3 linked regions of the Schizosaccharomyces pombe genome follow. The gene in region 2 interacts genetically with the main gene of each other region. Each region holds a gene or a part of one and is shown on either strand. Other genes may lie near its edges.

The links.
Region 1: of ubc4 (region 2) and ecm33, extra expression of one rescues a mutant of the other (dosage rescue), as found in Schizosaccharomyces pombe (one study listed by BioGRID).
Region 3: of ubc4 (region 2) and mal2, a mutation in one rescues a mutant of the other (synthetic rescue), as found in Schizosaccharomyces pombe (one study listed by BioGRID).

What each region holds. Positions count from the first base shown.
Region 1 is NC_003424.3:1,569,112-1,573,486, forward strand, and holds ecm33 (extracellular leucine-rich repeat domain, receptor L domain-like Ecm33), read right to left. Parts: upstream 2,479-4,375; 5' UTR 2,150-2,478; coding exon 884-2,149; 3' UTR 502-883; downstream 1-501. Other genes in the region: SPOM_SPAC1705.02 (uncharacterized protein), read left to right, coding at 1-49, 105-192.
Region 2 is NC_003423.3:713,359-716,864, reverse strand, and holds ubc4 (ubiquitin-conjugating enzyme Ubc4), read right to left. Parts: upstream 1,581-3,506; 5' UTR 1,533-1,580; coding exon 1,413-1,532; exon of another isoform or gene 1,334-1,412; coding exon 1,256-1,333; exon of another isoform or gene 1,098-1,255; intron 885-1,097; coding exon 639-884; 3' UTR 554-638; downstream 1-553. Other genes in the region: 19S proteasome regulatory subunit Rpn3, read right to left, coding at 2,770-3,506. UniProt on the Schizosaccharomyces pombe protein: E2 ubiquitin-conjugating enzyme that catalyzes the covalent attachment of ubiquitin to other proteins. Mediates the selective degradation of short-lived and abnormal proteins. Mediates ubiquitination of pex5.
Region 3 is NC_003424.3:4,183,459-4,187,917, reverse strand, and holds mal2 (kinetochore protein mal2), read right to left. Parts: upstream 2,637-4,459; 5' UTR 2,396-2,636; coding exon 1,484-2,395; 3' UTR 1,407-1,483; coding exon of another isoform or gene 693-1,406; 3' UTR 502-692; downstream 1-501. Other genes in the region: pop100 (Rnase P/MRP subunit), read right to left, coding at 1-371; wybutosine biosynthesis protein Tyw3, read left to right, coding at 693-1,406. UniProt on the Schizosaccharomyces pombe protein: Component of the kinetochore, a multiprotein complex that assembles on centromeric DNA and attaches chromosomes to spindle microtubules, mediating chromosome segregation and sister chromatid segregation during meiosis and mitosis.

The DNA.
Region 1 (4,375 bases), on a different chromosome or scaffold from region 2:
AAGCTTCTAAAAAGAAACAAGCCGGAGATCCTACCAAACGTCTTGAAGCGTAAGTGGAATGGAATCAGGATTTTGTTTAAAAACCAATTAGCTAATATTTTAAGTCAAGCTGAAATTATGCGTGCTAAACAACGTGCAGCTGATGAGCGCAAGGCAGCGGAAGCCAACGGTGGCTCAAAAGGAAAAAAATAACTATATTCGAAATTTTGTTAAAGGGCAGTTTATTCCATCCTTTTAAGTGGTGTTTTTCCACAGTACATTGGCTCTTTATTCTGTTATTTTTCTTCAATTTTACCTCTATTTTGATAAAAACAATAAAATCTATATTTCTAAGTAAAGAGTAAATAAACTCGGTAGTCTTGCAATCTATAATAACATCCCATTAAGTTACTTAATCATTTACTCGTAATTTCTTAACTCTCGGTTATGCATATCATACGCCTTATGTCTCATCTTTGCCAATCAAATTATTTTATTACTAACTACCGCGCGCCTTGTATTAAAAATTAAAAAAATCAAATTCAAGATATACTAAATGCAAATATTCGATAGACTAATTATAAAAAAGGCAAAATCAATAACTTTGAAAATAGCCTAAGAGCAACTCATATAAATAATTTAAAGCTCAAATTAAAGAAAAGGAACATCAAACCTTCTCAACACTTTTCTAAGATCATATAGAAGTTAATCTCTTCTAAAGATATATGTTTAATCACACCCGATTATAAAGAAGAAAATAAAACGGCCTGTATTAATAAACATTTCAGTAACCCACATCACCAGAGATAAGCCAGCTCATCTCGCCAAATAAGTATCGGTAACATTCAAATATTAATTTTCTATACTTTCGATAAAAAAAGTAACAAATTGTTCATGACGACACTTACATAGCAAGAGCAGCAACCAAAAGAGATCCCAAAACTAAAGCACCAGCAGTGAAGCCGTTAGAAGCGGCTGAGCTTTCATGGGAGGAAGAGGAAGAGGAAGATGCAGAAGAATCAGAAGAGTATGAAGTGGTGGTAGCAGAACCAGTGGCAGATGTGGCAGATCCACTAGTAGCAGAGACAGTGGAAGACAAATCATAAGAACTAGTAGCAGAAATGGTAGCAACACTACCTTGGCAAGTGAAATCATCACCCTTAATAACACTGTCATCATTGGACCAAGGGCAAGTGAAATTGGTAGCCTTAGTCTCGACAGTGAGAGCACCCTTCACATCACTCAAATCAGGCATATCAATGCTTGAGAAGTTACCGAGAAGAACTAAACCACCACCAATTTCAGAGATGACGGGGAAACCATCAATAGAAGTCAAACCAGTATCGTTAATAACGAAACCACCACCAACAGTGGTAAGGTTAGGGAAGTTGAGGGAAGTAAGCTCAGGAGAGTACAAAACAGCAAAACTTTGTCCGATTTCGGTAAGGTAAGGAACCGAAATGTTATCCAGAGTAGTGTTAGAGAAATACAAGTTACCAGCAGCACTCTTCAAGTTACCAATAAAGACGTTGCTGATACCATCAAAAGTAGCAGTGGTAACGTTAGAAAGTTTACTGAAGTTTACGCTTACACCCTTAGAGTTAGCGGAAATCTGGATATTTTGAGCACTTTCGAGGCCCTCCATGGTGATCTCCTGAATATAACGATTGTTGGTTACTTGGAAAGTAGTGACGGAATCCAAACTGATACCGTCAATAGCTTGAAGTTGAGTGTCATCAATTACGACACTATCAGAATCGGAAAGACCAGCGTTAAATTGAAGCTCCTGTAAGTTTGGTAAAACAGCAAGATTTAGGCTTCCAACCGAAGTGAGCTCAGGGGTAGCAAGGTTGTTCATGCGGATCATGTTGTTAACGTTAAAAGCACCAGAAACGTTTTTCAAAGAAGGGAAGGAAAGAGAGGTCAAATATTGACCATCAGAAACCACAACATCACCTTGAACGGACTCAATTCCATTAACAGTAAGGGTGGTGATGCCAGAGTTACCAGCATCAGAAATGTACAAATCACCATTCAATACAGTACAGCTGTTAAGCTCGTCAAGAGTACCTTGGGCGGAGATATTGTAAGGGCCGCTGGAGCAGTTGGAAGCAGCTTGTACGCGAGCTGCGGCGAAAAGAAGAGTGAGAGCGAATGATTTGAACAACATATTGACTTTAGACTATATAATGTAGAAATATGATTGGAAAAATATAACGAAAGATAGTTTTTAGGATGCAAAAAGGGAATATGAAGGTAAATTTGTTAAATCAAAAGAGAAAGAGGACAAATATGTAAAATGCGTTTATAAGGGGAAACGTAGTAATAATCAAAAAGACAGAGATTGACCACAAAAGATATGCAGAATAGCGGGTATTTATAAAAGGTATATGCTATATATTACGGGTAATATATATGATATGTTTTATAAATGAATGCGTGGGTAATGAATAAAGAAGTAAAAGAGTGTTTAAAACTCAAATGTAGTTCGCTGAGGATGAAGCGAGTTGCGGAAAAGACATCTATATATACCCGGAAAATGCAAAGAATTGTGACTTGTTAGATAAAAAGGGGGACAACGAGGTGCGCAATTTCGTTGCAATGTTTACTGTAAACAATGAGTAATTGTGTATTGCTGGTTGCTAGGCCACAACACCAACGAGGAGCTTGCGACCAAACTTTGAAGACCGTTTATTGGCTAAACTTGTACGTTTACGAGTAATTTGACTCTCGTTAAACACATTGGCATGACAACAAGGCGTTCGACTCTTTACAGATTGAGAATTGTAAACACTCAATGTAAACAATGCTGTATTTTCTGTCAAAACTTCATTTGTATTCCAGCTTTGGTTTTAAGGTTATTCATCGCATAAACATTTAAAGGGAGAGACACAAACCGCAGTGTTTGACCCTTAAAAAGTCACATTCACGGGCTTTTAAACGTGACATCACTTGTTTGTTTTAGTGAAAAATAACAGTCACCAGATCTCTGAAGAGGTAGGATTTTTTTATACTAGAAAAAAGCAGAAAATCATAAATATTATTTGGTATAGAAAATGCTTCTTCCAGCTATGCTAATCTTGTTTATTTTTCGCTCATATGCAACGGTATTTACGTTTCCGTAAATGGTTTCAGACATTTGTTTACTGACAATTACCGTTACCGCAGCAACGATCTGTCCATCTGCAGTGTAAACAGATTTATTTAGTCATGTAAACAAAGTATTTACCGTGCTGTAGAGAAGTAGAGGCGCAGTGGATATGCTTAGCAAGTTGAAGGAGAAAAGATTGCAAAGGTCATACCGGTATTCAACTGATTGACTAGACTGAACTGTACTGTACTTCAGAAGCATTTACCTGTTACTTTTTAACTTCTTGTAGTTTCGATGATTATTTTGGCCTTTGTGTATTTCATCTTTGTGTGACATCCAGTTATTACTTTAAAACTTAAGTAATTTATATTTCCCATTTTTGATGCACTGAGTGAGAAAAAAACTACTTGATTATTCAAATTTGTTCAATATTTTAAGAAATAGCAAACAACAGTCTACAAAATTATTTTGGCAATACAGTTTAATCAGAAATAATGTTGAAAGGCATAAATGATTTTTAAGTTGATTTTATGTTTATTTTTTTTGTGAATAAGCTATATTATCTTCCACTGTCTAGGATGATTTGCTTCAGAAAATTATTTAATCATTGTTGAAGGTTGAACAATTCTAGACTACTGTGCATGATTTAGGAATAGAATATGAATGTGGATATTTTAAATATTGATCTAGAATAAATGCCCTAATTGGAGAATATGTATTGTATTTAGAAGCTAGTACTCCAAGGTAATAAAATGTATGCTGAAACATAAAATGTTTTTTTGCTATACATGTGCACTGTAAGCTAGACTGTTGAATGTATATGAATATTAAGTCAGTAGAATGCTTGCATCATTTATTACACAAAGTTGAAATGATTAACTCCAGAGATTTCGGGTACTTGTTAAAAAGCATCTTAAGGTGATTAGTTCCGTCATGGTTTTTATAAATTCCTTTACCTTCTATCTCGAAGTAATCTTATAGGAGCGATTACACATCAACTCATATTAAAAATTTAACTTTGATTACTGTAACTTGCCTATTTTTTACATTCGTAGTGTAATCATAATTACCGTCCAAATATTCAAGTAAAAAGCGGCGTTGTAGTCTGATGGAGATGCCCGTTATACAAATTGAGTAAAGCACTCATTTAAGACTGTTTTGCTATTTGGAACCTTTTTATTTTTTTTTTATTTTTTTTATTTGTTCTCTTGTGTGACGTGAGTTAGTAGTTAATCGCTGCGATTATAAAAGAAATTGATTTTTAATACACAAAGTATATCTTTAATTTATCTGAGCCGCGCTTTT
Region 2 (3,506 bases):
ACAGCATAAAATAGCTCAATAGACGACGTTGTAAAGACAAATACAAAACTAGGAGTTGAATTGACTGGCTATTATGAGTTGTGTCTATAGCAGTATCACTTCGTATTGCATGTCAAGTATTATCATTTTCTTTTCAGCAAAAAGGCGCTACAAGGAATTTGTTTATTACTTAGTTTTGTTTAATAAATATTTTTAGCAAAACCTTAAAGACGTAGAGCCGTTTACTCTCTTCGTAACACGACTTTCCATTCGTGTTATTCTACTTTTACTTGCACAATATTTCACTTAATCGGCAGTGTTTACGTACCTTTTTAAAAATATATGCACAAACGCTCTTGGAATAATCCAACTGGACCCATTCGGTCTTATTAAACACAAAGAAAAATTTTGTACTATTCAAAAAATCATAAAAATTATCTAAATCAAATCATACTTTATCCTCGAACATAATACAGTTTGTTTTAAAGGCAGCTTGTATCCTCAATTTTACGATGCAACTTTACTAGCTACATTATCGCCATCCCCTACTATTTATTTAAAAAACCAAAACCAAAAAAAAAAAAAAAAAACTATACAATACATTGGAGAAAACAATTCGCAAAAGAGATGAATATTTAATATCAACACAGAAACAAACTCTAGATTGCGTATTTTCTAGTCCATTCACGAGCACTTAATTCATAACGGGATCTGTCAGTTTTGTAGACGTGCGCAATTTCAGGCACAAGCGGATCATCAGGATTAGGATCTGTCAACAATGAGCAGATAGACAGTAATACCTTTGATATAGTCAACGCTGGAGACCATTGGTCACGAAGGATATCCAAACAAATGCTACCGTTTGAATTGATGTTGGGATGATAGATTCTGGTTGTAAAGTTTACCTACGAATATGCTGTTAGTTATCATTAAAAAAAAAAGACTATCAATCAGATTCGTAATGCTACGCAATGTAATTGCCCTCGCTTCACTTGGATGGACGCAATCGTATAAAAATCGATAAAGTTCCGCTGGTAAAACATAAAGAAATGAAGATAAAAGGTAAGAGTAAACAATTATAAAAAAACTTCTGCGTATACTCTTTCACCATAACACTTAAAAAATTTTGCATCACTGTCAACCATACCGATTTTTCCAGAAAAACAAGATGCAATCAACTCTTCAATTCATATTGTATATAACAAACTTCCTCCTCCGATTCACAAGCTTACAATGCGTATTTACATAATCTACACAAGACTAAATAGTTACATACCTTTGGTGGCTTGAATGGGTAGTCCGTAGGGAAATGAATGGACAAGAAGAAGACACCACCCGCATAAGGGCTGTCAGCCTATATATCATGTTAGCTGCACAATCCTAGCAAGCAAAATTTTGGCAGTGCGCAAGGCACTATTACAGCCGCGACTTACAGGACCCATGATTGTAGCTTGCCAATGGAATAAATCATCGCCAACAGGGCCGGCGGAACAAGAAGACGGTGGGTCTTTTCCAAGATCAGCTAATTCACGGTTAATTCTTTTCAAAGCCATCGTTACTGGTTTGCTTTTGCGATTTTACAAAGTCAGTAGTTTGCTCGTGGAAGAACGTGGACGGAGGTAGAAATAACATATAACCGATGGATGCACTAAATCACACGAGTTCGACTTTGTCTGAGTAAGCAATTTTTCAGGATGGCGCAACTTGCTTTGTACCTGCAAAATACCCGCTAAACAGTTTGTTATCCTTTTAAGGATACGCTACGTTACGATAAATTTTTTCGGGATCCAGCATACTATTGTATTACAAATAGGGCAAAATTAAAGAGAATTACAGATATTATATTATGGGGGCGGTATTATAACGATTTATCAATAAAAGAGCTTGTAAGTGAACTGAAGAACGAGGATCAGTTTAACTGACGACATGATGGCTAACTCAGAAACTATTTTACTTGTGAAATACAATATAGACTATATCAGTATCTTCCCGTATTTAGCGAATAGAGAAACCGGACAGGCGATATTTGATGATATGCGCCGTAGCGACCACAGCAGAATACACCATTGCTCAAAATATCGACAAAATTGTTAAATTACTATAACGTAAAAAATGAGCTTGCCGTTCCACTTTAAATATATAGTGTTGATCATATCTACTAACTTAGCTAAAATTGACAAAGTGGTAATGGGAGAGACTAATGTATAGCTTTGGTTTTATAAAGTGTTACTTAAGTCACGTTAGAAAACTAGCTTATATCCACTGTGGTTATTATTTTCTGCCGGAAGCCATTTTATAGCATTGCTTTATTTGCTCTAGTTATGCATAACAAAAAATAAATTTGCACAAAAATTTTTTGCCCATTTCGCCATTTATAATTAAAAAGACTAAAGTATACCTTTGATTGGAACCATAATCCAAGATCAAATCTGTATTGCTTCACAGCATAACCATAAATGTGTTTGCATACGTGTATTATATACGAAATATAAAACAACAAATTTGAAAATAAAGCACACGACCATTCTCCAAACCCCTGTGTTTTTAGCGTATTACTCATTTATTACAATGTGCAAAGACCAAGTCTCAGTTTAAACAACAAACGCATTTGTAGCGTTGTAGCACCGATCGAAAACTGTTTTTCAACAACTTTCCTTCTGTTACAGCTTCGCAAACTCACTAAATATTTCAATCTGTAAACTACATATAGTTTTCATAGACATTAAAGAAACATACAACTGAACAACTTTGAAAGTATATTTTAAGATCTATAAACTTTCCATAAGTTTTTTAAAATTCGCCCAAATCAGGCTCATCGTCATCTAAATCTGCCTCAGCCATTTCTTTATCCATACGCCTACGTGCCTCTTCCACACCTTCGAGTTCACTTTTGTGAGCATCCATGGGATATCGCATACTTTTTATGCTGTCATTATGAAGGGCAAGACAAAACTGAATACGTTCATGAAAAGCTTGTTGAGGCTGCTCGGTGGAATAAATATCCATGGCTTCGTTACTAGCCATAAAGGCATTACTATGATCGATACTTGCATCAATAACTCCATCACGGATGCCCTTAGCAACAATGTACTCGGCACTCTCTTCACTGTCCAAACCAAGCTTTATACAAACATCACGAAGGGAAATACGGGAATAAGATAAGGAGATCATCCTCAATCCAGTCTTAATGACGGTATGGCGAAGGCGGCATATCAAAGTATACAATCCATCGAAGCGAAATTCAGCCTCATACTTGGAAAGCGCGTCAGTGAAAGCACAAAGGTCACCAATACGAACTGCCTGGCTAATACGTAAGTAAGGCACTAAAGTTTTTTCGAGAGATTTTTGGCGGAAAATGCGGCGTTCGGGAATTTCTCCCATAAGCAATTGTACGACGATGTGCAATTTGTAAACAGCTTCCAGAAATTGAACGGCATATACTGTGTTGGGAGCCTTACGTATAGCACTAACTAAATGTTCATGAGCGGTCGTGTAGTCAAGTTGAATGGCGCGAATTCGACCCAAAT
Region 3 (4,459 bases), on a different chromosome or scaffold from region 2:
CGTTTGATGAATCTCTTTAACCGTTGTCTGGAAGGTGCAATGGGCAAAGTAGATGAGGAACTGAGTTGCATTTCATATAAAGCTCTATCCCTTAAACCTTTAGGTATCCTTTTTATATTATGAGAAGCTGCTCTTCTTCGTAAACATCGAGGAAGAGCTTGGAAAGCACGCTGAGCGCTGGATTCTTTTGATCTTTTCATAGCATCTTGTAAAGCCGTTATTTCAAAACTCCTTGATTCAATGAATTTTTTTAAGTCTACAGCACCATTTGAAAGGGCAGGTGATTCAACCTCTATGAATCTAGCATCAGCGAGCTTTGACCTTTTGACGTTTAGTCCCTTTGGTTGCGTTCCTCCAGTTGAACGCTTCATTTCATAAAATTAGATAAAGTGGGGGACGGTTTTTGTAGCAGCCTTAATTAGGAAGTTAATATTATACAGTGGAACTTGTTTGTTGCATGGATTGATAAATTACTCAAGCGCGTACGAAAATACCATAAAAATGATTTTTTCTATTTGATTTCTTTTATTTATTAGGTTTGAGCAAACGAATCTGCAAATATTGTTTTGAATTTAGAAAAAAAAATGTAGGTGCTTGATTTGGCAAGTTGACAACGCAAGTTGAAAAGTTGTAAGAATCCACCAACGAGTTGAATTAAGTCGTTGCAAGGAGTTCCTTGAAGAACAATTTGAATGAATATAAAAGGAATAGATGTATCATTTGATGCTCAAAAAAAAGAAATCTTAGAAGGCTTGAAATCCTCCGTACCTGATGCATCACCCAAAGGACACCCAGATAGCCCAATATTTCCATTGCTAGATGTTATAAACTCCCACCCGGATTGGGTAACAACTAGTTCATGTTCAGGAAGAATTTCAGTCTATGTACAAGGAGCAAATTCCAGAAAAGGAGGTGGATACTGGCTTTTCGTTAGTCATCAGGCACATGAAGAACTACCACCGGTTTTAGAAGATGAAAAAGTGGAATACGGAAAGGTTCCCAGTTCTCCGGTAGAAGGAAATCGGGAAATACAATACGCTTTTGAACCCATGATTCTGCATGTTCAAACGAGAAGTTTAGCGAATGCTCAGCATTTGCAAAGAGTAGCAGCAAGCTGCGGTTTTCGGGAAACAGGAATTCAAGGTAGTGAGCAGAAGTTTATTGTGGCTATTAGAACAAGTTTACGAATGGATATTCCTATAGGATGTCTTACAGCATCCGAAAAGCTTCAGTTTTACATTACTCGTGAATACATGTGCTTCCTTTTCAAGAGAAGCGTTGAGTATTTTACTGAAAATGGAAATCGAATGGCTAGACTGAAAGAGCAACTGGAGAGACAGGTAGAGAAAAGGATGAAACCAAGGCGGAAATTAAGGAATATGGACGATTATTTGGTGCAATCGTAAATAACTAACAAGTATAAAGTTTTTTGTATAAAAAGATAGTCCCTGTCTAATAATAATAAGAGTATGGTAATAAACAATCATAACGAAGCATGACTTTCTGGAGCAGTTAGGTGTGATACAAGTATATTAACCCAACGTTTGTTGTCTAATAAAGATAGTTCAAGTCTGTGATCTCTTTTCCAGTTTTCATCAGAATACTGATATATCCTTGATTTGACCACTCTAGTGGATTCTGAAGAGCAAACAAGGGTAGCTTGAATGACTTTCGGAATTTGAATGACAAGATGTGTACAAGAAAGATTGGCAGATATGTTTGTCCCATCAATTGTCAAAGACTTATTGATTTGTAAAAGTGCGTTTTTACGACAGATATATGCGGTCAATAATTTATCTACTTTCCACAAAAATATTCTAAACCTTTCAGGGTTCTTTCCAGTCAAATACTCGTCAGCCCATTCTTGTATGTTCAGAAAGCTTGGAATCGTATATTTATATAAAGCAAACGAGTCGTGAAATACTCGAAAAATTATATAATAGGGAACATCAAATCTATTTCCACCTTCTAGTTCTTCGTCCATGCCAGAGGCGGAAGATATTGGATTCTCTGAGAGATTCGTAAAGCCTATATTTACTGGATTCAACATGATATCGAACCGGACACCAAGAAGCGGTATAGAAGGAGCAGTCTCAATGGCTCCTGTCTTTTTATTTTTTACGAGAAGGGTCTTTCTAGATAACTCCTCAGGATCATTGGGTTGGAAAAAGGAAATACCAGAAAGTCGATCATAATGCAGTGCAGGTTGATTTAACGGAGTCTCTTTCAGAAATTCATTGTTTACAGATAAATTTTTGGACAACTCGGGCTTCTGAACGAGATCGGACAGTGTCGCATTATCTAAAGACTTTAATTCATCAAGCAATACATCCCTTCTGGCTTCAAGGACGGAAATTTCATCGATGAGTGTCGCATTGCCTTCTTCATCGTCCATGGCAGCAAAAAAAATTCATGGAACTAAAAAAACTGTAGTTTCAACAGTTTCTTAGGGCCTTATTGATAACATGAACCAAGCATAGAAATTCAGTTACGCTTAGACTCGTCCACGTATGTCAAAGCGTCGAAATACACAGCAGCTTTTATAATTTAATCACTGTAGCATTTCAGAGTTTCGAACTGGAATAGTATTTTAGACGAGATTTGTAATTAGATCAAAATTAGAGATTGGTAGGTTTGAAGATGTAATGGATAGGAAAAAATGAAGATTGCAAATCTATTTGCAACGAAACGAAAAATTATGCAATATTTTTAACTGTTTGATAATATGTAAATTAAATATTTTCTTAATGAGTTACAATAACAAAGAAATGTATAGAAAGCAAAGTCGGACAAGTTGTATATAACTATATAAAATTGAAGATAATTAAATCGCCAGTTTAAAAAAAAAAATTAAAATTAAAATCTAGGAAAGAAAACAGAATGGTTATTTACAAGAACAAAGAAATTTAACTTATAAAATATATAGAATTAAATTGACATAATCCAGGAAATGAGAATTATTTTGAAGAAAAAATAATGACATTTAACAAAATGACATTAAAAAAAAAGAAAAATAAATTAGTAAAGAAAAAAAATGAAGGTAGTTTTCCTTCTTATATAAATGATTTTAAAATCATTACATTTTATAACTCACCAATTAGTGCATCCCTATTAACAATTCTTTTATTAAAGCTCTTCACGTACAATCCCTTAAAACATTCATATTGCATTAAGAAAGCAACAAAATTGTATATTTAATATTAGATTATGAGCGCGCAAGTGCTATACATTGTAGCAGTTTTAAGGATCGTTGAATGTACATGGGGTTTTGATTTGACAAAAGCCAAGTTTGTGTTAAATGAATGCAAAGGGAGAATGTATTATTCAATGTTAAATAATATAATGTGAACTTTTAAGTGGTATTTGTTTACAATGAGCTAGAACAAACATGATAAATTACATTCTTTAATTACAGTATATATAGTTTAAATTAATGAAGCAAATGTCTACGGCCATACCTAGGCGAAAACACCAGTTCCCGTCCGATCACTGCAGTTAAGCGTCTGAGGGCCTCGTTAGTACTATGGTTGGAGACAACATGGGAATCCGGGGTGCTGTAGGCTTTTTGCTTTTTTGTAGAAAACTAAATTTTTTTTAGTTCATTTATTTTCTTTTACATTCTTTTTTATAAAATCAGTTTGGCATCTATAAAACAGGCAATTGTTATATAGTATATTTCATAGTGTCGAGTTGATTTTTGCTGTCATGTCTTTGATACAATTGAGAAAATGAAAATTTAATAGAAAAGTCTTTGTAATACAAAGAAAATCAATTCATCCAGACTGTAAAACTGGGTTCAAGCGACATTGGGCTTACAGTTTGTAAAACACTAAAAATCGGCGATATTCAATAAAAAATCTACAATTTCCAAAATAGCGGTGAGTTAAAGTGATTACTAAAAAGAAAATAAAACCCAATGAAATAAATTTGAATGAAGTAAGGTAGATTTTTTTTTTATTATTATTTATTTTATTTATTTATTTTTCTCTTCTATAGTAGGGATTGCTTAGATGAGCTTTAGTTCTGGGCATACAAGGCATACGAGTGTAAACACAAATTACCACTGCTGACTGAAAAACGGAAAAGTCCATAAACAACGATCAAAAGTCAAACAGAAACAAAAATTATTGATGTTCGTCTTTCGACTCTCATCACTGCTATTTTTCCTACTATTCGACTTTCGGTTTATAAACACTGTATATACTCGTTTACTACCAACCCTATTATTCCTCTGCTACAATATTGCTACTCATATACCATGATCTAACGCGTGTCACTATGCACCTTTATCGTATTTTAGCGCATTGAATTAGCGCTTGTTTTTTTGGGTCACACTTATCAATGCATCGGGGAGTCCCCCACTCCCCCCACTTACGATAGGCCAGGGTTTCACTATCATAGTCCATGCCACGTTCCAATCACCTTACAGTGAAACCGCCCGATCACAAGCTTAGTATTA